Oryzias latipes: one gene and its partners. The protein of the gene in region 2 interacts with the protein of the main gene of each other region in a pairwise test. Links are inferred from orthologs where the notes say so. Each region holds a gene or a part of one and is shown on either strand. Other genes may lie near its edges.

Region 1 (4,535 bases), on a different chromosome or scaffold from region 2:
ACGCATGGTTTCCATAACAAGCCATTCAGATCATGTATTTATTAACACACTTTCTGCAAAAGTTCAGCGTTTGTCTTTCTGATCTGTTTGATAAAGTTTTCAGCAGATAATAAGCTTTTATTTTGTTTAGAGTTAAGCATCTAAATTTATTTTTGGAAACATTGCAAAACTTGAATCATAAAACTTAACTAAGTCTTGAGATGCCTGCAGGTCTAAAATTGTTTTTTTCTTTTGTTTTCTCCTTGGATCAGTGATTCCAAACAGTTTATAAATATATACATTTTAGGGGGTTGTAGGCACATTGCAGATGGTATAAATAATCCTGTCCATATTAGGATTTTTGTCATATTTCTGTTGTCTTTTTTTTATTATTACTTTATAAGTTTTCAATGTTAGGCTTAACACTGAAAATGAACAAACAATGTAAGCAGCCTAATCATTCGAGACTGGATATTCAGCAAATAAACGGGCTTAAAGATGGAGGGCAAATTGGAAAAAACTGGATGTTCAGAGGAGACAAAATTAAAAGAATCAGTATACTACCAGATCACCTTTGGCTCCCATATTCTCCAAGAAATGTATTTTTGAAGCTTTAGCCAGAAGAAAAAGACCAACACAGAACACTGAACAGGTACTTTACATTTATTTTGCAATTCAAATAGTTCGTTTAACCCTTGTGCTATCTTAGATGACCCCACCCTTACTTTGACGTGTAATTCCTACCATGACAAAGGTGGATAAAGGTGGAAAGATTTCATGTAATCCATGGACAACAGTGAAGATCACAAATCATTGAAGAAAAAAGGTTCAGCGCACTGTCTAGTGGGTCTACATGACCCAACTCCCAATGGCAAAGTGCCTAGGATAGCACAAGGGATATTTGTATATTTTTCAGATAACTTGGTTTGATCCAAAAGAATTGTCAACACATGAGTGAATTGTGACAAATATCGCTCATGAGGTGCATAAGACAAAAAGATTGGAAATCTGCCTCATTCTGAGGTAGTAAAGCTTTTAGCATTATTTTTATTGTCATTTTGTCCATCATTGTTTAAGTTTCATTGTCCCTTGAAACCTACAATCTCAAGCTGCATTTAGTGTTTCTGAATATCTGTAGCAGCCTATATAATGTTACAATCGTTTTAATGATCTTACTCTCCTTAAATAAAAGAAGCTAAAAGTAAGATATGAAAATAGTAAGAGGGCAAAACATGGTGAAAAAAAACAACAAAAAGGATTTCCCATATAAAAACCTGGAAGCTTTAATTCACACCAATAAACGTATAAAATAAAAGAAAAACATATTGTGTTCTGACAAAAAAAACAAGAAGAAAGAAAACTACTTGGTAAATTTATTTTAAAAAAACGTGAAGACATTAGTTTCAGAAAGATTTAACAATTTTTTTGTAAAATAACAGCAACAAATCATTTTCTTGTCAGCTTGAGGCTTCCTGTCTGCACGCGCTGTCTGCTGTCGCAGCTGTACGTCACGGTGACGTAGAATCTGCTGATTGGCTGTAGTGCAGGGCGGAAGTGCGTGTACGCCCCACCAGAGGGCTGACAACAAAACAACACGAGCAGAGACAGGTGAGTATCACAATACCGTGAACTCCTTTTATTGCTCGCGGTTCGTTGTCGGAGCGGCTGCGTGAGCTGTATGCGTGAGACCGGTCGGCGGGCGAACAAACGGCTAGCTTTGCTGACATTGAGGGCGTAGAGCAGTGAGGTGTCCTTGTTGCTGATGTCATGTGTGTGAGCTGTTATGTAACAGACAGCAGCAGTGAGGGACCATCACCATGCAGATAGATACTACAACCTGCTGCTGTGCTGTTGTTTTTGCTGCAGTCATGCCGCACAGATTCCCAGCAGTTTTTCTTAGCTAATTAGAAAGACAACGCGATGGTTTCGCTTTTCCTGATGATAAACAAACGTTCTCAAGGACAACAGCAGTGATCATTGCTCATCCGTGCTAGTAGTAAACCTGTCATTACAAATATGTCTTATGTCTTTTCACGTTTACATTCTTCTTTTAAATTTTAACACAAGTAAACATACTAGAGAAAATAAGATAATCTATAATTTATAGCCATGTTGGTTTGCTTAGCTTAGCATTTTAGATTAGGACAAATACTTGTCGTTTATATTCATTTTCTGCTAAGAAAGCTGCTTTAAATGACAGCAGATGAGATCATCATACCATCAAAAGAATGGAGAAACATAATACAGACAGGAGCTGCTATGTTGGCTTAGCTCTCGGGCTGCATACGAGAAAAACTCACTATGTGCGATATTTGTGATCATTATGAATGATGACGATATCAGAATCATTTATTGACATTATAATAGCAAATTGCAATGGAATTTTGATCAGCTCTGGGAAATATAGGGATACAGAAGGCATCAATGTGCAAAGATACACGTGATGCATGAGCAGTTAGCAAAACAAAAAACATTTTTTTTTAATTTAACCTTTATTTAACCAGGTAAGCCATTAAGAACATGTTCTAATTTACAATAAAGACAACTAATACATTGTTTCCATTTCACTGTAATGGTTTTATTTAAATGAAAGTCAACATATCTTAAATTGAACTTCAAATGACCTCTCGTCTTCACATGAGGCAGGAATCTAACATTAAAGGGCTGCTTTTCATTGGTGAAATATTTAAAAAGCTCTGTTTGATTCACCTGCTATGAGATTGTATTCACATGTATATAAACACTAAAGGTAACCATTTATCCCATAAACTGGGATAACTGATGATGTAAATATATGTAGTCCAAGAAATGTCTTTTTTATCTCCTGTTGTAAATAATATTTGATTAAAACTTCTAGCTTTTCCCACAATAACATAATTTACATGTTTTTCTTAAATTCATTTGTCTCTCATGTTACCAAGAATATAATTATTAACGATATATACAATTAGCTAACCCTATATTATCGGTTCTTTGTGCTGACTGTTTTAATTGAAAAGTGTCAACACAAATGTGTTTAGAAATCCCATTTGCTGTCAAAATGAACGGATGTGTAAAAAGCATGGGAATAATAAATGTCATTTTTGTATAAGTACAAGCTACTTTACTTTTGAGGACCTTGTCTTTTATAGAGTGTTAGTTTGTCTTTTCATACAAAATGATTTTGCTCTAGGCTCTTCAGCATTTGCTTCCTTTTTGAAAATATTATGTTTTTTCATAAAAGACAACATAGACACCATATCTAATCCAGACAACAATGTTACAGTTTATGCTAATTTGGCGGTCACTGCAGATTTTAACCGTCTTTTGCTGTGTCAGTCATTTCCAGCACTATGATGGATGAGCTGGTGCAGGACCTGGTGTCAGCTCTGGAACAGGCCTCAGAGCCGAATAAGCTGGGGGAGCTGTGGGAGGAAATGGTCCTGAGTCCACTGCAGCATCGGCGACAGATCCGACGCCGCAGGGGACGCAAGAAATTTCACGAATCCTCCCTTTATCCATTGTTTGCCAGAAGATGCTGGATTGACGCCTCGGAATCCAGTTTAGATGAAGCTAAAGACTTCAGGGAGAACTCGTCCTTCACTTTTCCTGCATCGGTGGCCAACTGCAGTGACTCTGACGACATGTCTGCTACCAACCACTGGTCATCACTTGTGGGGGGCTCAGTTAGGACGAGGCAGCCCTCTTGGCCAGAGTCTGACTCCTTCACCGAGAATAATCCAGGACGGCCACTCAGGAGGCGGAGGAAGGTGAAGCGTATGACTTCCGGGGTGACCTACAGGCTGCAGCAGAAGCTAACAGTGTCAGAGGTGGATCGCAAACAGAGGCACAGACCGCCTAAGGTACACCGTCTCTCGGGATCCAAGCGAAGATCTGGTGGCTGGATGAAGAACGAGAGACAGAGTGAAGGAGGCAGACTGCTGGGGAAGAAGTGCTGGAAAAGGAAGATGACGAAGGAGCACAGAGACGCTGCTGATGAGAACATGTCTGAAGGGTAATCTAAAATCCTTCTGGTCCTTTATGAAACATTTCCATATTTATCACTTCAAATGAATTCACATTTGTGAAACACTTTTAGCAGAAATGAGCATGTTTAAATTCAATATAATCCTTTGAACAGTTTCTTTCTAAAATTAAAATGATATCTTTTTCTATTTTAGACAGTAGCAAAGAAACAATAGAACCCTTGGTATTATTTGTATTGAAAATCCTTATTATTAGTATTCAGAAGGCCTTCAAACTAGTTCAAAAGGGGAATATCCCGATGAAGTCCCTTCTGTAGTCTTGAGCTCATATTCAAAAGTTAATAATCATCTTTGTGTCCTCTATCCTTGCGTCTGAAAGGATCACCAGGGAGCCACCTTTGATAGTTTGGCCTCCGGGCATCTCATCGCTCATTATTTCCTTTTGAAAAATATGGTCACAAATAAATACGTGACTTGGAGTGGTATTGATTTGTTTGGAGTAAATTCCAATCTTTGTTGGGGTAATTAAAGCTGTGATCCCTGGTGGTGTCGAAGTGCGTAGTCTCGCATAGATTTAACCCAGAAAGCCAA
Region 2 (4,028 bases):
AAAATCCAGGGCTCTACATAATAGTGCTGCACATAGGGGTTAGGGCGGGAATTTGGACGCAACCTTAGTATTTATAGAGGTGGGCGGAGTCACAGTAACGGCACTGCATGATTGGACCCTTGCCTTATGACCTCATAGGGAAAGAAAGCTCATTGTGAGAAGAACCCTCCACGTGCCGCGGTGGCGCCCGGCCCGGGCTGCCGACGGCTGGGTTAGAGTAAAATACAGGATGAACAACAACCCCCACCCCTTTCATCCAGGACACCTACAGATCATTTTGACCAAATCAACCAAACAAGACAGAAATCTTTGGTCATTAATGTCTAAAAAAGGTTTTAGGAGTTAAAAAAAGGAATATTCTGTGAGTCTCTGAAACAACTTGATCTATACTTTCCCTTTTTTTAACTCAAAGAGAAAATGTGAGTATGAACCCCAGTGAGCAGCTGAAAAGCCCAACAGAGACCGTTCCCTCAGACAAACATGACCCAAAGACAGCTGGTGACCTTTGACCTCACCACCGCGGAACGTGGACCAACACTGCAGATGCTCCTGGTTCGGCCGCCGTAAAGCGGCTAGAAGGAAGGCTCTCCGGCGGCTCGCCAACACCGCCCAAAACATGCTGGGTGCCCCCTCCCCGCCCTGGAAACCCCCCCACAGCTCCCGCTGCCTCAGCAGAGCAGAGAGCCTCATCAGAGACGCTACACGCCCCGGACCGCCGCCGTCTGACCTGCTGCCTTCAGGCAAACGCCGCTGGTGAAGAGAGACGGAAAGACCCAAAACCATTTCCCTCCAACCGCCATAAACCAGTTGGAGACGCCAGAAACCGTGAAACCTGGACGTCTGCTGGTCACTGAGGAGACTGTGGACGTCTGCTTCATATTTAGGATCATTGTCTTTACTTTCAACCATTTCAACACATATTGAAGCACTTTTTCCCCACAACTTTATATTATAAAGAATGAGTCACGACAACACAGCAGCTTCAATAAAACTCATTACATTTTCCTAATAAGAACGAGAAGGGAAAAGAACAAAAAGCTGGATTGTGTGACATTTTACTCAATATCTACATCCAAGCCCGTTTTATGTCGTTTCGTCCATTATTTGTTATTTTAGTAAGTTTTTTTTTTTTAAAGGTATGAATGTTGCACTGACACGAAGACACGTTAATGTTATTGTACACGTGACACAGATCTCTGTATCCCTGAAATGCTCTCATAATCAATCAGTCAATCAATGGCAGCTGTGCCTGTTGACGGTTCAAACTCGTCTCCTCCACTCCCGCCCGTTGGAGGAAGCGCAGCTCTCCAGCGCTCTGCGCATGCCCAGAGAAAGCCTGAGCCAATCACGTTTCAGAACACAGATCACGTGATTCTTCCGCCGCCATAGTTGTTAGTGGCAGCGAAGCCCTCGCTCTGTCCGCGTTCGGCTGCTGTCCGGGCCGCCGCCATGGTCCAGACGTGCTCGGCGTACGGCTGCAAGAACCGGTACCACAAAGACAAAGACATTTCCTTCCACAAGTAAGCCCCTCCCACAGAGGCGGACGCTCCGCCGCCGGAGCGCCGGTTTTCCGGGAAGAAAACCTCCCGGTAAACGCACCTAACGGAGACGTTCCCTCACTCGCGCTCCGATCCACGGTGCATGATGGGAAAATAAAAAAGAAAGTTTGGGTCATGAGTCCGTCCGTCCGGTACCGGCGGGTCCACATGCTGCTGGTGGTTCTCGGTCAACCGAGTGACTGCTGGAATCCCGACTACCGAGTACCCTTTGAGCAATGCTTCAACAGGTTTAGGAGGTCAAAGGTTAACCTTCACCACTCATCCGGGTCTGTCCGGTACAGACGTTTGGACTGAACGACTTAAGGACGGTAGTCCGCTCCGGTTTCGTTCGATACCTGCAGTGATCCTACGGTGTCAAACCGTTACACTGGATTCAACCGGTCAAACACGTTTATTCGAGTCCCACTAGAGGCAAAGAAAGGCTTTCAATGGGTTCATCTTTTCTACGGTGACCCTGAAGTGCAAATAGCTTAACGTGAAGCATTTAAAAACTCACAACGACCAATAAAAAGCGAAACAAATAATCAGAAACTAAAACTATTCCTAGAAATGTTGGGAAAATGAAGCCCAAGGAGAAACCAGAAAGGTGGATTTGTTGGAGGATCATGGGACGGATGTATCCACGACCTTCATGTCAGCTTCTGACTGACATGAAGGTCAAGCGTCTTCGTCCAATCAGCTCAGTCCTATGGACCTTTTCCGGGTTCTCATTGTTTCATTTTACATCATTTCATTTCGTTTTCTGTATATTTTTTTTAATATTTGTTTGTATGTTGTGATCTTAAAAAGGTTTTGCGTCACATGACTTATTGATGTGATTTGTACTTCAGGGCCACCGTACTTTCCTGTTGCAGTCAAAGCTGACGGCTGGATATCTCCGTTATGCTGCCATTTTTGTTGCTCTGCTAATGTTAGGTGGGGGGCAAAGGGATGATGGGAATCAGGGCGGGCTTAGTCCACATCAATAGCCCCGCCCACAACTCGGAGGTGAATTTGTGATCAGCTCCTGCCGCTCTGCAGACACTGTTCTAGAAAAGGAAAATGGTAAAAAAAACCATCGTTAAGACCTCTGGGAACACTTTGACAGCTCATTGGGTGATGGCAGTTTAAGACTGAAATGACTGACAGGAATGAGAAATGAATATGCAACCAGCTCAGCGGCCCTGTGGTCAGTGTCCACCCTGAGACTGGAAGGTCGTGGGTTCAAACCCAGGCAGAGTCATACCAAAGACTATAAAAATGGGGCCCAATGCCTCCCTGCTTGACACTCAGTATTAGGGGGTTGGATTGGGGGGTTAAACCACCAAATGGTCTGCAGCTCACCGCTCCGCCAGGGGGAGGGGTCAAATGTGGCGCAAAAAAGGTCACACAGATGGTGTGATTTAATTTAATGTTAATGGTCGTGGAGGGGGGAGAATAAGTCACTACCAGGACCTTGTTGGCTCTCTGTGGCAGAGTTTACGGTGACGGGAGCCTCTGCACCTTTAGATACGTTTAGAACTTTACTGGAGATTAAAACATTTGTTTACCAGACGGAAGCACAGAAACGTGTCCGGCGATGGGCTGAACGTGGTGTTTGTCGTCCCGGACTGCAAGGTTCCCGTTGGCGCGTCCGGACGTTTGCGGGAAGTGGGTGGCGGCCATGAGGAGGAACAACTTCAAACCAACAAAGTACAGCAACATCTGCTCCCAACACTTCACCAGCGACTGCTTCAAGAGGGAGTGCAACAACCGCGTGCTGAAGGAGAACGCCGTGCCGTCGCTCTTCAGCGCCAACCTCAGCTTCAAGGTAACGCGGCTCAGAGGGCCGATGAGGAGCGCCATGACCACGGGCAGCCATGCGTCTTTTCTGTCTGTGGGGTCTGTAGCATAAAGTATGTTTATGGATTTGTATGCATGGATTTCATACAGAAATCTGATTGGTCCAGTTTCTGACTCGGCTAGTGATGCTCCGCCCACAAACGTGTCCATGGCGTCTAGGCCGGTGGTTGTAGGTTTCACGGCCTGAAACCCGTTTGGGAAGCAGGTGAACAGTGTTGTGGTGCATTGTGGGTCAGCAAAACAGTGTTGTGGTGCATTGTGGGTCAGCAAAACAGTGTTGTGGTGCATTGTGGGTCAGCAAAACAGTGTTGTGGTGCATTGTGGGTCAGCATTGTGGGTCAGCAAAACAGTGTTGTGGTGCATTGTGGGTCAGCATTGTGGGTCAGCAAAACAGTGTTGTGGTGCATTGTGGGTCAGCAGACCAGCGACGGCTCAGCCTTACTGTAAAAGGTTTTAATCTGAAACAGACTGATCTGCTCTGATTTAGTTTTTTCTCACGTTTTCTGACTTCTACAGGTTTCTAACCTGAAGGTCGTCTCACAGCCGCGACCTACATTATTGCACATTTTCCTCGTATGATTCAGTCGTTCATACGTGTCTCTTTCGTCATCCGTGGAGGGTTTCAGCCGACGGGTTTTGAACTGCTAA
Region 3 (4,500 bases), on a different chromosome or scaffold from region 2:
GATGAGGAGAAAACAGCTCAATAGATTAGATGTCAGGTTTTCCACCACATGCACGGACACGCGCGAGCATCACTGCTGCACACAAGCGAAGCGGCCGCAACCTTTTCCTCCCGCGGCAACAATAACGCGTATTAACAAAACCAGATTATGCTGGGCCTCCTCTAAAGCGGGTTTATGTAAGAGGGCTGGACATTTCCAGAGGGGAAAGCTGCCAAATCTCAGCATTTATTAGGATAATCGGAGTCCAGTCCCCGCGCGGACGGCCAATCAGCGCGCGCCTCCGTTTGGTTACAGCAGCCAGAGAGGGCCTCTGAGGCGCACGCGGCCGTTCGGAACCCGAACCGGACGCGGTTCAACAGCCGCCCCGCCAACGCTAGTCCCCCGCGGGAAACCCTGCGTGGCCGCTGGCTCTGCGGGCGGACGAGCGTGAAGCCGAACCAGCCCCCCCGCCCCGCCCTGACGCCGCCTCACCTCTTCAGGACTCCGAACACGTTCGCGCACATTCTGAGAGATGTCTGTTTCCATCAGCAGAAAGCAGGCGGCCGGCGAAGCTGGGGAGCAGCCGCGTGCGCAGACAGGAGCCCGCGGAGGTGTCGCGATGCTCCGGCGACCAGCAGACAGACTCTGCCCGCCCGCCTGCAGTCCGGCGGCTGTCGCCCCTCCCACCTCTAAGCCACTACGTCTGCAAACATGGTTTTGTCCCCCCCCCCCCCCCCCTTCTTTTAAAATAAAAAAAACCCCAAACACTTGACCTACACGCGCAGATATTTGACTTCGAAAGATGAAATCCCACCACCGGGTCTTTTTCCAGCCCGTTAACACCGTTGTGAGCTGTCGGTGATCACCTGACTGACTCTGCCCCACCTTGACCGCATAAACTGCGGCTTTACGCCGGCATCTACCCGCCGTTGAACCGCCCCAGTCTTACCTGCATAACCAGCGAACAGCCATGTACCCCGCTGCGAAGGAAAAGCCCCAAACCTTCTGTTGAAGATCAACATTAGCCCGCCTAGCTGCACCTTCACGGACTTACTTTCCCGTCTCAGCCTCGCCACTATAGTTTCACGGAGTTCGATTGTTTCGCTGAATCTACCCTCCCACTTCGTATTTTAATCAATATTTCAATCTCTGAGTGTAACCAACAGCTACAACTATATCTGTACACATTCCTAACACTTTGGTTAATCTTGTTGGTCATTATCTCGTTTAATAATGAAGCTTTTATCAGTTCAGACGCAGGGAAGGTTGTTGTCGGCCAACAGCGAGTGCGCTCCATTTAATCACCAACTCTGTGCGGAGACAAACTCGACCCGTTTTGTTTATGTTTTATTTCGTTATCGCTTCTGATAAAACATAAATATAGCAGTGTTTTTAAATAACGTACTCAAAACGTAGTTTGTAGCTTTGGTACTTGAAGCTTTTGCGATGAAAAGTTTTGACAGTATCTTTCTAGAAATATGTTTTATTTAGAGTTTAGTTTGAAACCTCATCTGCTCCGAACCCGTCGGGCAGAGACTTGACTAACGGCTTGCGAAGGTGCTGTTTCCGAGCGTCTCTAGCCGTTTTTTGCAGCTCACGTGACCACCTGTCCTACATCCTCGCGGAAGGACATACAGTTGGGAGACATGGGTTGTTCGCCACCGTTGCGTGTTTAGCTTTTCTGCGTGACAGTGCCTTGATTTTGCGGGAATGACATTCGGGGCAGCTGGACGCTTGTCGTGGAGGAGCGCGCGGAACTCCCGCGTGCAACTGCTGGATGTAAACATCCGGCGCAACGGCTCTAATAATCCAACGAGCCAACAGGATAAAGCCGCCAAGGTGCGCGCGCCGCCGCAGTCCGTTCCGCGTTGGTGTTTTTATCCCAGGCTCCGTGCTCACATTACCGGAGGAATCAGAAACGCTGAGGTTCTGATCCTGCTGTGAAAACCAAGATAACGACGCATGCGCACTAGGTCTGCACAGCCAAAAAGTCTAATTGACCTGCAGGTTACTGACTGGCTGAACTAAACATGGCTTTAACCAACTCCTTCTATGTTTAGTGCTGCTTAGGCCTAACGGACAGGCTTTTCATCAGCAACCATGAGAGATTTTCACGTCATCTGGTTCTGAAGTTTCATTTAACGGCTCTAGATCCTCACAGAAAGGCTGCGAGAATCAAAAGACACCAGTAGAACCCATCTGTAACAGCTGTCAGTGGGTTTGTTTGGGCTAATGTTTCTGATTCACTGTAGTAAATGTAACCGTAATGATGAAGAAAGTCCAAAGACTTCTGCAGCTGAAGGTAGTGATGTCATAACGCACCTTTTTTCAGGCCTCTGGGTCCTGGATGGAGTCTTCCTCCTCCCTGCTCTCCTCATGCCTGCTCTCCTCCGTGCTCTTCTCCTGCTGCCGTCTGCTCTGCACTGATAAGCAGATGCCTCCAGTTAGACTGCAGGGCCTCCTGCATCCCTCCTGCAGGGCCTCCTGCATCCCTCCTGCTGCCCTCCTGCAGGGCCTCCTGCTGACCCACCTCAGCCCCAAACCGTAGGAACCTGAAGCGCCAGAGTCTGATGGATTCTGTTGGTTATTCTTAGATGCGTTCACATGCTTTGGCCCGGTTAAAATGGGTTTTCTGGAGTCCTCTGGTTCCCTCTGCATCATGCCTGGGGGGCCGTCCCATCAAAAACCCTCAGACTGCGCTGGCTCCAAAGGGCCATCAAAGCTGCAGACCTATTCTGGATTTTAAGTCTGGCCTTCTAATCAGAAATTCATGTACAAATGTATTTAGATAGAATTCTCTTTTATGTGAAGAAATAGGAAGAGTCCAATTGCCATAATAATGTTCATAGTTTATTTGCTTTTAATGCATTGAATAGTTGGCCCTCTTTGAAAAAGAGTTTCCTGAAAAAAGCAAACAGTTGTTGGTTGATCTTCTCCTAAAGTTCTCCACTGTTGTTTTTCCACATCCAAAGAATCCAAAGGGAACATTCTTAGAACATTCTAGACACTGGATGGTCGCATGACTTTATTCAAAGTCTGTCCACACATTGGACTGGAATGATGGACTGATCCGTGTTAATGACATCACATGTGTGTTGCTGTGATTGGGCGGTTTGACCTTATAGTCAAATAAACCTACTGTACCTCAATCTAAATGGTATTTTCCAAGATCAATATAATCGATTTTAACGATTTTTTTAATGGTAGAGGTCAATTGGAATTGATTACCCTCTTGGCTCAGACAGATCGATCTGGTGGGACAAATTAATTCATTGTTAGTTATCTTTTTGACTTGTCTCTGTGTTTTTAACTCTGGGGGAATCCACAGGATCAACTTTAGCTCTATGGTTTTTATTTATTTCTTTTTCTCTCTAGTTTTTCCTTTATTTTTAGGTTTTCATTTGAAGTTTTTTTTGGTTGCTGTTAATTGCTGCTTTCCAAAATGAAGAAACAAAATCAAATTTGCTTAATTACCTTTAAAAGCCCTGAAAAAAAAATGGTTGCTGGGTTCTCCAGGGTTAAACGAACACCTTTTTCTGGTGTTTTATTTTCTTTTTTTTTTTTACATTTTTTTGGTCACTTGTAAAGTCCATCTTTGGACAAATGCTGCAAACATTAGGATGTGGGCATGGGACTGCGGTTTGCAGTCCATCTGTTCTTAGTAAATACGTTTAATTATTGTTCATATTTCCATTTTTCAGCGGACACCTTTGAGACCGGAGCCCAGCTCTACACATGACTGGATCGGCCCCCCGAACCCGCTGTCCAACCTGCGGCCGATCATCTACCGCATCCCTGAGGAGGAGTCGGAGCTGGAAAAGAGGCTGAGAAACCTGAGGCAGGAGACGGAGGACTGGAACCACAAGTTCTGGACCCAGCAGAACCTCAACTTCAGCCAGGTTGAAACCAACATTTTTTACAAGTGTGCCATCCTGTCCAGACGAGGTTTTCAGGTTCCTCGTTTCCCGACATGCATTCAGGAACATCTCGGCATCGGTGGGAGCTGCAGGACACGTGACACGTCCTTCCTCGGTTAAAACGTCCTCCCCCACACAACGGGGTCCAACATGGCTGGACTGACAGCAGTCGCTCCTAAAAACCAGCATCAGGAAAACTGATGCTTGTGTTAAAGCAAACAAAACACCGATTTGACGTTCCTCTGGGCCGCTCACTTTAAAAAGCACTTTAACTCATTTTATCAGTGAATAACAATATTGTGAAAACCTTACATATAATAAATAAAGAAGAGCAGGACTTGAGTGACACTGCTGGTTTTTTAAATCAGTTATTTTGTCCTGTGTGTGTCGGTATTTGAGATTCACCACCAGAGGGCAGCAACGCGCTTCCTGCACAGGATTTCTGCAGAGCATCCAAAAGCATCACTAGTCTTTAAATGCATTTAACAAAACCCAGAAAACAGTCAGCGTTGTGCTCAGTAAAATTTTAAAATGATCAGTTTTAGAGAAATTTACTTGCATGGCTCTATCTTCTGCAAATTATTTGTGTGTAAAAATATCTGAA
Region 4 (3,767 bases), on a different chromosome or scaffold from region 2:
GTGAATTTTTTGGAGGAACGGGGTTTCCACGAAGGCAGCAGGGGGGCAGCTCATCCCCAGAGAGCAGTCCTTGTTGTCCACATCCAACATGATGGCGTCGAACAAACGACCACCTGCATAGAAACAAATAGCTCAGCCACATCTTTACAGGGTAAACAACCCCACTGACTGTACAGAAGAACTGGACTGAGCTTGTGTGACGTCACCCATAGAAAATGTTCCCAGTCCAGTTCTCTGATACAGTCATCGGTTCTGTTTTGTTCTCCTGACTGTACCAAAGATCTGGACTGAGCGCGTGTGACATCACCCATACAAAAGGCAATGAGTCCAGTTATTTGATACCGTTGATGGTTCTGTTTTGTTTTCCTGACTGTATCAAATAACTGGACTGAGCGCGTGTGACATCACCCATAGAAAATGTTCCCAGTCCAGTTCTATAATACAGTCGATGGTTCTGTTCTGTCCTCCTGACTGACCTTCTTTCTCCAGAGCACAGATGTGTTCCAGGCCGTCCCCAACAGTCACAGTCAAACGACTGTCTGGTCTGAACCCAAACCATTGCGTTGCCACTTCCAGCATGACAGGGTCCAGTTCTACAACTTCAACTGACACTCCAGGAAGAAAATCCCTCAGAAACTGAGGCAGGCCGCCCCCACCGAGCCCCACCAGGAGAACGGACACCGGGACATCTGCAGTGAAGATGGGAAGGACATGTATACTCATCAGAATGAAACGTTTAAGCAGATTTGGACACGAGACCTTTAGAAAAAGATTCAGATTCATGAAAACCAGAACAGGGCTGCATGGGGGGTGCAGTGGTTAGCACTGTCGCCTCACAGTGAGAGTTTGAATCCCAACTGGGACCTTTCTGTGTGAAGTTTTCCCGTTCTTTTCATTCACGTCCGGAAAAACACACATACGCACGCGCGTGCGCACACACACACCCACACACACACACACCAGTCTAGCTTCTTCCCACAGACCAATAACAGGCTTTGTGGCCTCACTGTTGACTCCAAATTGTCCCCAGGTGTGAAATGTGTGTGCGTGATTGTGTCTCTCTGTGATGGACTACAGAACTGTCCATGGTGAACCAACAGTGGTGAGATGGGCTCCAGCAACTCCCAACAGAATGAAGTGGGTTTAAGAAAATGGGTGGATGGAAACTTTAACTTTTGATGGCAAAAGCTTGACAGAGCTGCTCAACTGAATCTGACTCTTCTTTCTTTTAGTAACTTTGAAAATAAATGTTCATGCGTTCATTCATTAAAGAAATTCTATGATACAAAATACAATAGATTAGATGGTTTTTATCAGTTTCTCTGAATGTTTTATCCACCAGTATCTCTGTAGGTGAAGCCTTATGAGAAGAGGGTAAAAAAAATAAGGTTTTATTCCGTTTTATTTTGAAAAGCCAGTATACGGCTTTAATCTTTATTTATTCTTACAGAGGCCTCTCTTTGAAACAATTTCAAGTTTTTAACAAGTGAAATGAGACAACTAAATTTTTTTATTTTCCCAGATTGTTTAAAGTCCCGTTCCAATTATCTTCTGATCTATTTTAAAGTGGTCCCAGTGGTTTTTCATGACGATGATGTCATTTTAAGCCAAAGTCTAAAAAAACTGTTGTTTTCTAGGACATAGTTTCTGCAGAGCGGCAGTAGTTCATCAGAAATTCACCTCAGAGTTGTGAATCGGACTGTCAGCTCAGAAGTACCGGTAAACCTTTCCTGATTTCCCATCATTCACATGTTCACACTCTCTCCTGCTAGCTTACAGCCCCTCACAACCCCGACCTAACATCATGGCGTAAATATCAGAGCTATCCAGCCGCACAGTTTAGATCCAGATTCCAGCTCAGACGAGGAAAACAAAAATGTTCATGGATCTACTTTTCTGAGAGTGGAGGCATCAGAATAAAGCAGAGCAGGGAGACTCTGGCCCCGCCCATTTCAGTTACTGCATCTCCTGTTTCCCTTCAATTAGAATAAAGGAATACTCTGAAATGCAGTTTTAAGCATAAATGCTGTAGAAAGGACTAGGTGTTACAATCCCTAAGGTTACTACCACTTTAAATTTCAGGAGCTCTTGAGGTTCTTGGACTTCCATTTATTGCCAGCGAGACACATCATCAGTTGTGCACCCCAACATCTTAAGGTGTTTCGGCCATTTATCACAATACACCCTCCGCTGAGGTAGGCCCACCACAGGTTGATCAAGCCTGGGTGTGTGTCTCACTGCTAGTTGGTCATTTTTGTCCATGTGATGTCACTTCTCCTCAGCCACAGCCAATGGCTCGCCCTCTCAGCGGTGATGATCAGTTCTTTTAAAGGCTATCTGTGTGCCCGTCCTCTGACTCCAACTTCCCTTAGGAGATTAGTAGTCATGCTGGCGACAAAGCCCCTGCATCCCACCTCCACTGGGCGCTGATGTTCCAGCCTCTATCCTCTGCCTCAGCTACTAAGTTGGAATAGCGAAGTTTCTTACGCTCATAAGCTTCGTCAAGGGAGTCCTCCCAGGGGACTGTCAGCTCTATGATGTAGGCAAGTCGGCACGAATTAGACCAGAGGACAAGGTCTGGACGCAGAGTGGTTGCTGCAATCTTAACCAGAGGCTAAGATAAGCCTCTGGTTAAGGTCGACTCGCATTTGCCAGTCCCTGGCTGCATTCAGAGGGGTCAGCTCAGGGAGGGAGGGATTACTCTTTGGCTTCTCCCCTTCCCGGACAAATGGTGGTGGGTGTCGGCGCACATCCAGGCTGCTGCTGGGTTGGGCGTTGATAAATACCCTCCTGCACTCAAGTGTATTGGGAAGACATCTCAGGACCTGGTTGTGTCTCCATGTATGTCTGCCTTGGGTGAGGCTGGTCCCACAGCCCACTAGGATGTGCTTTAGCATTGCAGTTGCAGAGCAAAGGGGGCAGGATGGATCTTTCCCAAGCCAAAGCTGCAGGTTTGTGGGGAAGGGCAGCACATCGTAGGTGGCTCGTACAAGGAAGCTTAGCCTATTGGATTCCATGCTCCAAAGTTCGCTCCATGTCAGTTTCCTCCTTTCTACTCCCTCCCACCTTACCCATCGGCCCTGTTTTGCTTGAGCGACAGCTGTGCAGCGTTTACCCGCTTCTTCCAGTTGGTGTACCTCCTCTACCACCATTGTTCGACGTTCTGCTGCAGATGCCTTTTGCCAGAGAGGTTTTACCACCCCCAACCCAAAGCCTCCTCTACCTTGTTGGACGTTGCCCACTATGTCGCGATGGCGCAGAGCAGACTTTGCCTGTAGCACTGCTACAGCAGGGGTCCACTTCTTCCCTGTTGCTAGGACTGGAGCTGCACTTCTCACCATCGGGTCTCGGGAATCGGTGAGTGACATGTCAAGCCTCACCTTGGCGCATTTAAATTATTCCACTAGGCTAGAGACTGGTAGTGACAGGACTCCATCATTGTAGAGTCCAACACTGCTGAGGCAGTTGGGAACTCCAAGTCACTTCCTCAGGTAAGAGTTCACAAGCCTTTCCAGACGGTGGACATGGCTAATTGAGACCTCATACATAGTTAAGGGCCACATAAGTCTGGGTAGTAGCCCAAACTCGTAGCACCAAAGCTTCAGTTTTCCTGGGAGTCAAGGAGTGTTTAGTCAATCAGGATGGGAAATCACTTGAGTCAGCTAATCAACAGCAAGCTGGTGAGGGAGAGCTCGAAAACAGGCAGGGTTGAGGCTCTTGAGGACCAGGGTTGGCCGCCCCTGCCACATCGCACTGCCTTTACAACA
Region 5 (3,767 bases), on a different chromosome or scaffold from region 2:
AGGACTGCAGAAAGAAATTAGCCTGTGTCTAAACTCTGGTCTTTCACTATATTGTGGTTCATGTTTTGTGGTCTCGCAATGTCTTTCAGGCAACTTTGCATGCTTTCTTTTTTTTTTACAGTGCACTGTGTTCTGCGTTCTGATTGGCGGTTGTCAATCAATCTCCTCAGTGCCATGTCTCCTGTACAGAATGTGTGCAAGTTGCCAAATGTACATAAAAGTTTGAGAAGATCTTCGTTCTTATTCAGTAATACTGGTCTCATTTTTCTAAAAGGGTTTGAACTTTGAGAGTTTAAACAAGGGAGAAGAGTATGACAATGTTCATGTCTGTTGGAAAAAAGTGTTTAGTGAGGAGTTTTAAAACATCTGTAATCCCACTTGGGGGGATTACACCCATTGTGGGTTAATTATGGAATGTATAACCCGCAATAAACAAGGAAACACTGCATTTACGTTTGTTTTTGATGTTCATTAATATACAATGTCTCCGTCAGAATAAATACATGTTCAAATAAATATTCAAATACAAAAGGAAGCATGACATTTGAGCAAGACTCCCCATAAACTACCCAACACTGTACCGTGTAATTGGGGTTTCCCGGCTGAATCCGGAGCTCGGCTAAGATCCAGATGCCGTTGGTTAGCTTGAGGGACTGGTAAAGCATGTCCTGACCTTCAACGTTTCTTTTGGCAATAGTGTAGATGTTGTTATTCTGCAGCTTTCCTGATACGGCGTCTGAAACAAAAAAAATGTTCACTTTACATCACGAAACCATCCCATTACAAAAAGTATGAATCACTTTAGGTACTAACACAAGCATATGCACTACGCAATGCACGTTTTCTACAAAGAGTGAGTTTATTCTAAAAGAGTTTAGGTGAAATATGACTGGTCACCTTAAGAGTTTTAGGTTATCTGACTACTCAAGTAACAAACCACTATGGATGACTGCCATCCAGGATAACAGAGACACATTAATGGGGGGCTTCTAAGAAGAAAAAGGCTGGATAGATAAAAAGAACCGAAATCCAAAGACAGGCATGCAGGTGAAAAAGAAAACAAAGAAAAGTGTGAGATGGAGATGCATCGCATGTGAAATATTTGACAATGAGGAAGAATATGTGAAAATATTTTGGATCAAGGAAAGAAACTGTTGCCCGCTTGATCTCTGCGGTAAATATTTACAATAAAATAAAGCAGATCTGCAAAGTTATCTAATGTTAGAAGAAAAACAAAAATCTAAAAATGTGTTTTATAGTGTCACCTACCTGCATTTAAGTGACAGTCCTTTATCTGATACTGCAGCTCATTTTCATTGGGGATGTCTTTCCATGTTGCCAAGAACACCTGTCGCTCTGAAGACGGTTAAAGAGAGTCACATAAAACCTACTGGATGCTTTGTTAAATGAAACAAATATATGTGTGAATATAATAGAATAAAAACCTATTCATTCCATTGAAAAAATACTTTAAAAATCCTTAACAATAAACCTAAAGAGAATAGATTTGTGAAAATATTCCTGGAAATGGTCTTTAGCACAGATTTTCTGATGTAAAATATTTTTAGAAATGCACAACATTCGTACCCATTTTTCCATCCTCAACAAAGAATATGTTGAGAGGGATGAGAACGCTGAAGTAAAACACATCAATGCTATTCTTCACAGCCACCTGCGCAAAAACCAACACAAGACAAATGAGAAAGTAGCTCAGACAAAAACAGAGTTTAAGGCGACAACGTTCCTTCAACTAAAACTAAAATATGAATTTCGCTTTTCCAAAACATCTGAACATTAGAAAAGTTTGAGGTGCCTCCTGAGGAGCAAATGGGTTCCCTCTGTTTACGGTCCATTATGTAGTTTTAACAGGTTTTTTTTTTTTTTTTTTTTTGCAAAAACAGTGGAAGCAATTAATAAGCTTACTTTGTGTAAGTTGATGAACCTGGTTAACAAAGGGCAGGAAAAGGTGACTGCAAAGCCAAGGTTACCAACAAACATAGCAAAAAATAGCAGTCAACAAAAATAAACAGCCCAAGCTTCAACTCAATCCCGAGTGCAGGTGAGCCGGTGCTTATTAAACTTTTCACTAATAAATAGTTAAAAAAGGTGAAATATACAAATCTGTAAAGTAAACAAAAAAAAGTGCAAAGAAACTACGTACATGTTGGCTCCTACAGTTATTAAAACCTTAGTCTGGATTATTTTGGCTCATTACATAAAAATCTATAAAGAGACTAAAAAAAATTTAACATGAGCAGTTTTAGAAAAGAAACAGCATCAAACTGAATATTACTAGATCAGAATTTTTCAAAGTCCTGATATTGTCATTGTGTTTGATAAAAGTAAGCAAAATTAAATGCGTTGTTTTCTTTTTTGTGACCTTATATCAGTGTTTTTCAACCTTTTTTGACCCACGGCACACTTTAACCTTGACAAAAATCCCGCGGCACACCAGCATCCAAAAAAAATAATAAATAAGCAGAAATTCATGGTCTCTATTGATCGACAGTCCCCCCCCCGCAATCTCACGTGCATTTTGTGATAATTGTGGCCAAAAAAGCAGGAAGTTGCGGCTGTTTTTTCTAAGAGATGAAATAAAAGTTAAATTAGAAAATTTAGAAACTGTTTGTTTGTCCGTTGAGGTTTCTAGACATTTCACGCGCACTCATTATGCGCTGGGACACTGGCCCTTTAAGCCAATGCATCATGGGAGATGTAGTGTGAAAACTGCCGAAAAAGGGCAGAAAGACTCGCGTCTGTGAGCTTCATTGTTTTGTTCACGGTCTGACACCGGACTCTGTGGAAAGCTACACCGCTAAAGACGAGCTTTAGCTGGTATTTTTGTTGGAACTGAGAGAATTTATGAGCAGAATTAAGAACAAGGAAGTGAAGACTTTAACCACTTCTGATTGGTCAGACTGCTGACATGTGATTAAGCCTTCAACAATGATTGGCGGAGACAGGTAAAGGGGCGGGACTTTCCCGCAAACCGCTATAGCTGCAGGTAAATACCGTCATTCTTATCAAAATGTCTTTAATAGAATCAAATAAACACAAATAAAAAGTAATTTTAAGATCTTTTATATTCCTCACTACTCAAGTGTTTTATCAGGGCCTGTTTGGATGAACAAAGAGCTGATTTCCTGGAGATGGAAAATGTTTTTAGATCAGTGAATGATTAATGAGGGTAATTTCCCACGGCACACTTGACCATCTCCCGCGGCACACTGGTTGAAAAACACTAGTTTTTCAACCAGTGTGCCGCGGCACACTGGTTGAAAAACACTGCCTTATATGGTTTGATTGATTTAATTCTGTTTGTATTATATTACTATATACATTTCTTTTAGAACCTTACAATCACATTTAGTACATGAAAGGCTGCAAATTCTGAAACCTCGAGAACCAATTTGTTAAAAATGTCTAAAAACGCATTTTGATCAAAGAGATGTAATTATACCGATATTCAAAATGTTACATGATGCATTTTTCTTTAAAATGACAAAATAATATTAAGCTGTTCCAATCAAAATGTACTCTCAAGCAACAAAGAAATAGCAGAATGCTTTCCAATGTACCTTATTCCAGTTAACATGGGTGGTAAAACGGCTCCTGTACCTGCAAATTATTCAAAGGATCCATCTTCATGACCGGTCCGATGGTGTTCAGGGGCAAAGAGATGTCAATGCTCTGGTTGGGCATCAGTGGAGTGTGGATCGGTAAAGGACTAGTGGGAATAACCCCGAAACTGCACAAACAAATAGAAA
Region 6 (2,503 bases), on a different chromosome or scaffold from region 2:
GCCAAAAATCCACTAAAATTAAAAACAAAAAAACAGTAGGTTTTGTTTCTCCAAATTGTTGCTGAAGAGAAGTCAGTGCAGCAGCCCTCAGTGTGACTGGCAGTGCTGAGAAAACCAGACTGAGCCTAAATCAAAGCCCACCCAGCAGCAATAACAGTGAGAGTTGCAGTGGGCTAAGCTGATTACAACCAGATAACCCAGATTAGAGCATGGACTCAGTCTGACAAAGAAACAACTCTATAAAAACACTGCGGCCTTGTTTATTATCCCTGAACCCACTGCTTTTCACCAAGCTTTCCCAATTAGTGCCTCCTCTTGTTCGCCGTTTGTTTTCCCCAACAAAAGAAAAAGTTCACCATGTACGATTTACTTGGGTCTGTGATTACTTATGCAGAAAAAAAATGTCCCCATGTTTTACATAAATACATTTGATCTCACATGAATGTCATGACACATATGCACAAAATGAAGTTTAGTGGTAACAAACTACAAATGACCCGTTTTGAGGTTATAAAAAAAAAAACACTAAAAAAAGCAAGACACCCATAAAGACTTGTCAACTTTGAAAACGTTTATTTTTCATAACCAGCTTGCAGTGTTTGTAAGTCATGCTTCACGGGAGAATTGTAATCCTGCAGAACAGATGGGTCTTTGTAGTGAGAAAACTTTTACAGTCTGTTGAGCCGCATCACTCTAAAAACCTGAAAACAGAACAACATTCAGACTCGACTCTGTGTTCAACAGTAGATTTTCATTTTAATCACTTTTGTTCCTCTTTTCACATATGGACAGAAAAAAAGGGCACACGTGTCTTCAAGTCTCTTCAAAATAAAAGGCTTGTTCTGAAGCCGATTCTTCAGTCTATAAGTTACAGCTTCATCTTTTATTGTGTACAACAAAAGGAAATAGCAGGTTCTAGAAAGAAAGAAAAAAGACTGAGGCTTATAGAATGAAAGCAGTTTCTTCAAACATCTGCAAAAGTCACAAAACAAAAACCAAAAAGATGTCGGAGTAGTTCCCTTTGACACCTTCATCACCTATACTTTGAAGCCTAAAGCAGTAAAATGACATGCTGGGTCTTAAAAACGCCACTACAGCTGTAGCAGCTCAACTAAAACAGTTGATAAAAAAGGTCAAGAAATTCTCACCTCCTTTTTGGTTTAATACAGACAAAACTGTTTCCTAACAAGTCTAGAGTGGAGTTTTTGTTAAAAAATATTCACCAAAGCTTTTCTTTTTTTCTGTTTGCTTTGCTGCCGTCCTGAAATGTGTTCATTCACATTTTTACATAACATAGATGCCAGAAGATTCCTTACGTTAGAAGCTTCAGCTGAGCAACAGAACAACTGAGTAACTTTGTAAAACGGACATATTTTTTTATTATTTTTATCTACACCCCTGACATTCATAAATGTAGGCTTGAGATCCTTTTGTGAAGTTTGGTTGAATTTCTTTGCATTCTGACCTAAGACACTAAACTTTTCTGTTTGAAAAGCGGCTCAGCGTCTCCTGGAGTGGCTCCTCTTGGTGCTGCCGCTGCGTCTCTGGTGTCTCCTGTGATCTCTGTGCTGACTGCTGCTTCTGGATCGCTGTCTGCTGTATGTGTGGCGACTCCGCCCGTGGCTCCTTCCCCTGCTGCAGCTCCTTCCCCTGCTGCTCCAGCTCCGCTCTCTGCTGGAGCTGGTGCTGCAGCGTCTCCTGCTGCTGCTCCTCCTGTGGCGGCTGGAGCTCCTCGAGCTCCTTCTCCGTCGGCTGTGACTCTGAGAGCGCCTCTGTCTCCCTCGACTGTGCGAGCTTCTTTCTCTGCGTGAGTGGCCTCTAGTTTGTTCCTTTCCATGTCTGTTTTTAACCATTTCTTCGTGTTTGTCATTTGAGCTCTTCTTGGACAAAGTTTTTGATCTAACACTAGCCTCAGATACTTGCTTCTCTTTGCCGTTTCCTGGCTCCAACCCGTTCACTCGACCCAGGACCTCCAGCATCCCACAGTGAGGATCCGAGGCCTCTTCGCTGCCTTGTAAGCCAGCCGGTTCCCGTACGACTCCGGCGGTTTCCTCGCTGCTTTTCTTAATGAGGTTGGACAGAAGTTTGTCTCTCAGCTCCTTTTCTCTACGTTGGAGTTCCAGCGCTCGCTGCTTCTCCACCTCCACCCTCCGCAGCTCCTCCTCCTGTCTGCGCCGACAGGCTTCCAGCTGCTGAAGGCGAGCCAATTCCTCCTTTTGTCTGGCCTGCTCCTGTCGCTCTTGCTTCTCTCGTTCCGCCTTTTCTTTTTCCTCCTGATGCTGTTTGAGTGTCTGAAGGGAAGGACGAGACATAAAGAAAACCATCTGTGCTGTCAAAACAAGGGCTGTGAAACTCCGGAGGGGGAAAACCTGTGCGAGTTTCATACCTTGGCTCTGGCCAGCAGCTCAGCAACGAGACGTAAGGATTCCAGGTTGCGCTGAGCCAGCAGCAGCCTCCTCTCCTCCATCGCGATCTTCATCTGCAGCTTCTTCTGCTCCTCCTC
Region 7 (4,466 bases), on a different chromosome or scaffold from region 2:
ACCTCAACTTGAATTTGTTTTATTTAACATACAGATGCATACAGACACATTAAATAAATTACAAATTCAACATAACATTAAAGCAAATTTTATCCTACAAAGCCAGCATCATTTTGCTAGCTAGTGGATGTATTTCTCGTGAGCTGTTGTATGAACAAAACATTTGATACAAGTTGTCATATTACATGAGTTCATTTATTTTGAGGTTCGTCTGGTTCTTCCGTTGAAACCAAACCAGGAAGCTGTTCATACAAATGCCTCTCCAGTTGTTTGTCAATGTCAGTCTCTCCTCTGAAGGCACACCACAACAAAAATGCAGCAACAAGGACGCTGATGGGGGCAACTTTCCACCATGGCCGCTCAAAATGACTCCCCATGGAGCGCTTGACCCTCCAGGTCTTGTGGCTGGCCTTGCTGGTGGAGAACTTTATGGGTTCATCAATCGGCTGCACATCCTCAGATCCTTGTGACTTGGATGATACTTTGGCGCTTACGGCAAGCAACCGTGCATTTCTCAAGGCACTGAAAGTAGAGAAAAATGAACACATTTGTTTAAATATGCAAGAGTATTGTTATTTGGGTGACTTCAGTACCATCTAAAGCACAAAATATCAACACTAAATATTGCTCAGGCATTTGTTGGTTAAGTCAGGTTGGTGTGAATACAAATACAGATGTACACAGCAAAAAGTCTCTTAAAATCACAGATTTACAAATCATGACAGATCTATTTTCTGCTGAGAAAGCTTTTTTTAAATAGGGTATTTAATTCTTATTCAAAAAGCCAGTAAAATCACAAATTCACAGATATACATATCTGAAAGGTACCACAAAGACGAGTCTCTAAAAGCCATCCTACATTATATACTTCAGACCCCTTTCTCACATGTATCTACAATTACAGTAACGTATTACGTTAGCACTAGATTTAAACGATTACCCTGTTAATAAACTACAGTAACAGTCAGGATCAGAGTCCACGCACAAATTTGTTAGTGACACTCACCACGTCCTTGTTAAAACGTTATTAGGAAATCCTGGATGGAGAGCTAATCGTGTCAAAGCACTGAATATTCTTGAAGTAGACATAGTTGACCACTGATCATCTTATAGAACACAGAAAATACAGGTCCTCTTCCACTGCCCGCTTAGGTCATGTAACACGCCGTTGTGCAACAACAAATGTCTTCCGGTGAAGGTTCCGTACCAGAACGTTCCCAGTACAGTAAGTACTGAGTAAATATAATTTCAACGTTTCAACCATTACATTTCTCAAAATAAAACTAACTCTCTGTTATTTGAAGCCTAAATTAATGCCACGAAGAACTAAATCCCATCCAAATATTTTATTAATATCAAAATACTGTGATTTTGTCCATCCAATCATCACTAATCAGTCATCGTTTCTGTCCAATCACGATTTACCAAAACTGTTTTACTTCCTGGTTTACAGCGCATGCTCCCATCGTTAGCACGTTGATGCTCCCCACTTTTCTACAACGACCTGCCTCAGTAAGGAAAAAAGTGTCATTGTTTGTTTATTTTTGCATTGTAGCAGCAGAATGAATAGTTAATAACAAGTATATCAATTGATAAATTAATCGATTTATTTAAAAACCACGTAATCGGTGTTTTATCAGGTTAAAACTTCCCTAAATGTTGGTTCAAATGTTGATTTGACATCAAGAATATTGAATAATATAAATAATGTCACAAACCGTTGGTTTAATTTTAATATCACCGTATTAGATTGTTTTCTTTCTGGGGGATATCTTTGAGTTTAATGTTTTATTTTTCTTCTTCTTGCAGGAGTTTCCATGGCGAAAAACAACAAGTCTGTGAAATTGGAACCCAAATCTCCTAAGAGGAAAAAGTCTAGTTTAAATGAAAGTCCAGTTTCTGTGGAAGACATTGTTGAGACAAAAGCAAAAAAGAAAAAGGTGAAGGCAGAAGCAAATATGCAAGCCCTTTTTAAAAAATATTCTATTAGCTATTACACCGTTTATTTACTTAGGATTCAGCAGTTTTACTTTGACTTTTTTTTGTTTGGTTGTTTTCTCAGGATTGTCAAGTAGAGTTCCCATCTGTAATTAAAGTAAAACATCAAAAAAACTTGGAAAAGACCAAAAAGCGCAAAAAAAAGGAAGGAGACAAAGAGCAGTCACAACCAAAGCAAACTGAGGTGAGAATATTCTGTTTTAATGGAGTTGACCGCATGTTTTGTCAACACTTTATCACCTGTCTTTGCTAATGTAACATAAACAGTATTTGGAGCAGATACACAATGTAGTCTTAGATTATTCATATAAAATATATACATGTATATACACCAGTTGGAATGTTAAAACAAGAAACATTTTGATTTTTACATTAGCAGAAATATTTGCATTTAGGATTTCTGTTGGACAAATTCATTTCAAAACAAAGCTTTTTGTGTGACACACAACGTCAGTAGGATGTACACCAGTTTGTGGAGAGACTCCAGAGTTTGAATTTGAGGACCGGCTCAGAGTGTCACATTCCTGAAGGCATGACTGTGCTGCCGGTGCACAAATGGGTTTTCTTAAAGCTGACTTCTGCAGTTTTGCCCACCCGCATCTTTTATGAAGGAAAAGCTCCAGCTTCTTTTGAAAAGTCTCACCAAGGAAGCCATAGATGAGCGGGTTTAGACAGCTGTTGGAGAACCCCGCCAGCCGGACAGCATGGGCGGTCAGTGGGAAGTCTTGCCAGAGCGTCCCGCCCTCTGCGTCTCCTCTCAGGAGGTGGACGCTTATGAAGATGTTCTCTGGAAGCCAGCAGATGAAGAACACCAGCACAGCCGCCGAGATCATTCTCAGGGCTTTCTGCCTGCGAGGTCTCTGCTGAAGGGTACGTTGTAATCTCTGGCTGCGTATGAGCGCTTGACCTATTCTCCAGTAGCACAAGCCCAGGACACAGAAAGGCAACAGGAATCCCATCATCACCTCCAACCACTGAATCTGTGTCACATTGGCGTAGCAGAAGTGCATTTCTCCTGCGTGCTGCACTTGAGCTACAGCAAACGGCAGCAGGGTGAGCAGAGATGAAGACACCCAGATGAGGCAGCAGCAGAGGCGTGTGTGTGACACACTGTGGCCGATGGATTTAGTCAACGCGACAAAGCGGTCAAAGCTCATCCAGGTCAGGAAGAAGACGCTGCTGTACATGTTAACCTGCTGGAAAAGGTTCATGAAGGTGCAGAGGCCAGCGTTGTTGTAATATTCCTTCCTGAGGTTACAGACCTCGATCAAAGAGTCTGCAACCAGAGTGAGGTCGGCCACAGCGAGGTTTACAAAGTAGAGATCCGGGCCTGTCAGGTGGCCGCTGGGGTCCAGATTGACTGCCAGGATGAGGATGTTCCCGATGAGGCCGATGGGGAACAGGGCTATGGTGTAGACGCTGGATAGGATGAGGCTGATGGTGTAAAGTTGTTGACTCTGTAATCCAAAGAAGGCCACATCAGAGTCATTAGGTAGCACAGTGAGGTTGCTCTCAGTGTGAAAGGAGTTCACATACATGGTTGTGTCTATATTACTCCTTTGTTCAGCTGGAAAACCATTAGACCACCTCCCCATCGCTCTTCTAGTAGTTTCCTAGGTGGATTTTGATGTCATTTATCTGCTCTTTGTAAACTGCAAGAAGCAGAGCAGAAATTCAACAATTTATAAGATTATTATTTTGAATTACATATTTTAAAAGTAAAGAAACTCAGAAATAGTAACTTTTTTTACACTTAATTTAATGAGGTTAGTATCAGATTCTATTTTGAATAAAATCCATAGAATGTGTAACGCAACATTTAAAAAAAAAGTTTTTGATTGAGATTTTTTAGGACTGCAAATATAATGAAAAGCCTTAAGCCTAAGAAAAAAAAGAAATCTACACAAAAAAACAAGTTAAGGTCAAATATTCTTTATATTATACGCGTTACTGTTGGTGAAATTGGTCAAACAAAAACTGGTTCAGACTTACGTTTGTGTCCTTGCCCTGCTCGCCGTCTTGATAGCCGTGTCCTGTTGTGGAGTACGCACTAAAGGATGTCTCAGATAAAGCGGAGGAGCGTCGCTGTGCCACCCACCACAACACACAATGCAGGTGTACACCTAACATTCAGTCCTGATAATTCCATCTATTCTCAGTTACGTTTCTGAGTTTTTTTTGTGCCATTTTGATCTGTTGCTAAGCATTTTAGTAATCCTCTCCGCTGGTTTTAAAGTTGAAGAAAGCTTGGATGGGACTGAGGTGTGCGCTCTCGTCATCCACTGATGTGTGCGGCGTGTGGCCCCATGATGTCAAAATATACGCCGTAAATATGGGAGGATGGCTTTTTAGCGTGAAAGTATATTTACACAAAACAACTGAAAACCAGTCAAGTATTTTTGAAACATTTTTTGGGGTTTTGATGAAGTTGCTGTGATGCATTAATGCTGTATTAAAAATTAAGTTTA

What was found.
Region 1: the proteins of thap1 (region 2) and gpatch2l interact in binary tests that used the Homo sapiens proteins (3 or more experiments, as listed by UniProt). The two-hybrid records come from large-scale screens. The link is inferred for Oryzias latipes from reciprocal best matches to the Homo sapiens genes THAP1 and GPATCH2L.
Region 3: the proteins of thap1 (region 2) and bag5 interact in binary tests that used the Homo sapiens proteins (3 or more experiments, as listed by UniProt). The two-hybrid records come from large-scale screens. The link is inferred for Oryzias latipes from reciprocal best matches to the Homo sapiens genes THAP1 and BAG5.
Region 4: the proteins of thap1 (region 2) and mettl13 interact in binary tests that used the Homo sapiens proteins (3 or more experiments, as listed by UniProt). The two-hybrid records come from large-scale screens. The link is inferred for Oryzias latipes from reciprocal best matches to the Homo sapiens genes THAP1 and METTL13.
Region 5: the proteins of thap1 (region 2) and AP-1 complex subunit beta-1 interact in binary tests that used the Homo sapiens proteins (3 or more experiments, as listed by UniProt). The two-hybrid records come from large-scale screens. The link is inferred for Oryzias latipes from reciprocal best matches to the Homo sapiens genes THAP1 and AP2B1.
Region 6: the proteins of thap1 (region 2) and akap17a interact in binary tests that used the Homo sapiens proteins (3 or more experiments, as listed by UniProt). The two-hybrid records come from large-scale screens. The link is inferred for Oryzias latipes from reciprocal best matches to the Homo sapiens genes THAP1 and AKAP17A.
Region 7: the proteins of thap1 (region 2) and c19h7orf50 interact in binary tests that used the Homo sapiens proteins (3 or more experiments, as listed by UniProt). The two-hybrid records come from large-scale screens. The link is inferred for Oryzias latipes from reciprocal best matches to the Homo sapiens genes THAP1 and CHLSN.

Annotation. Positions count from the first base shown.
Region 1 is NC_019880.2:13,366,753-13,371,287, forward strand, and holds the start of gpatch2l (G patch domain-containing protein 2-like), read left to right. Parts: upstream 1-1,480; 5' UTR 1,481-1,587; intron 1,588-3,297; 5' UTR 3,298-3,311; coding exon 3,312-3,973; intron 3,974-4,535.
Region 2 is NC_019870.2:29,950,423-29,954,450, forward strand, and holds the start of thap1 (THAP domain-containing protein 1), read left to right. Parts: upstream 1-1,228; 5' UTR 1,229-1,449; coding exon 1,450-1,520; exon of another isoform or gene 1,521-1,589; intron 1,590-3,155; coding exon 3,156-3,348; intron 3,349-4,028. UniProt on the Homo sapiens protein: DNA-binding transcription regulator that regulates endothelial cell proliferation and G1/S cell-cycle progression.
Region 3 is NC_019880.2:21,267,663-21,272,162, reverse strand, and holds the start of bag5 (BAG family molecular chaperone regulator 5), read right to left. Parts: upstream 2,997-4,500; 5' UTR 2,358-2,996; coding exon 2,302-2,357; intron 1,819-2,301; coding exon of another isoform or gene 1,690-1,818; exon of another isoform or gene 1,571-1,689; intron 1,436-1,570; exon of another isoform or gene 952-1,435; coding exon of another isoform or gene 929-951; intron 671-928; exon of another isoform or gene 504-670; coding exon of another isoform or gene 472-503; intron 1-471. Other genes in the region: apopt1 (apoptogenic protein 1, mitochondrial), read left to right, coding at 1,690-1,818, 3,681-3,878. UniProt on the Homo sapiens protein: Co-chaperone for HSP/HSP70 proteins. It functions as a nucleotide-exchange factor promoting the release of ADP from HSP70, thereby activating HSP70-mediated protein refolding.
Region 4 is NC_019862.2:3,849,566-3,853,332, forward strand, and holds part of mettl13 (methyltransferase-like protein 13), read right to left. Parts: intron 690-3,767; coding exon 477-689; intron 114-476; coding exon 1-113. UniProt on the Homo sapiens protein: Dual methyltransferase that catalyzes methylation of elongation factor 1-alpha (EEF1A1 and EEF1A2) at two different positions, and is therefore involved in the regulation of mRNA translation.
Region 5 is NC_019872.2:25,038,616-25,042,382, reverse strand, and holds part of AP-1 complex subunit beta-1, read right to left. Parts: intron 3,749-3,767; coding exon 3,619-3,748; intron 1,673-3,618; coding exon 1,588-1,672; intron 1,357-1,587; coding exon 1,270-1,356; intron 737-1,269; coding exon 582-736; intron 1-581. UniProt on the Homo sapiens protein: Component of the adaptor protein complex 2 (AP-2). Adaptor protein complexes function in protein transport via transport vesicles in different membrane traffic pathways.
Region 6 is NC_019879.2:18,192,482-18,194,984, reverse strand, and holds the end of akap17a (A-kinase anchor protein 17A), read right to left. Parts: coding exon 2,387-2,503; intron 2,292-2,386; coding exon 1,500-2,291; 3' UTR 557-1,499; downstream 1-556. UniProt on the Homo sapiens protein: Splice factor regulating alternative splice site selection for certain mRNA precursors. Mediates regulation of pre-mRNA splicing in a PKA-dependent manner.
Region 7 is NC_019877.2:9,265,003-9,269,468, forward strand, and holds the start of c19h7orf50 (uncharacterized protein C7orf50 homolog), read left to right. Parts: upstream 1-1,414; 5' UTR 1,415-1,512; intron 1,513-1,809; 5' UTR 1,810-1,817; coding exon 1,818-1,940; intron 1,941-2,062; coding exon 2,063-2,182; exon of another isoform or gene 2,183-2,411; coding exon of another isoform or gene 2,412-3,593; exon of another isoform or gene 3,594-4,466. Other genes in the region: G-protein coupled estrogen receptor 1-like, read right to left, coding at 2,412-3,593. UniProt on the Homo sapiens protein: Hormone secreted from the intestine in response to cholesterol, where it acts to inhibit cholesterol synthesis in the liver and VLDL secretion,leading to a reduction in circulating cholesterol levels. Acts through binding to its receptor, GPR146.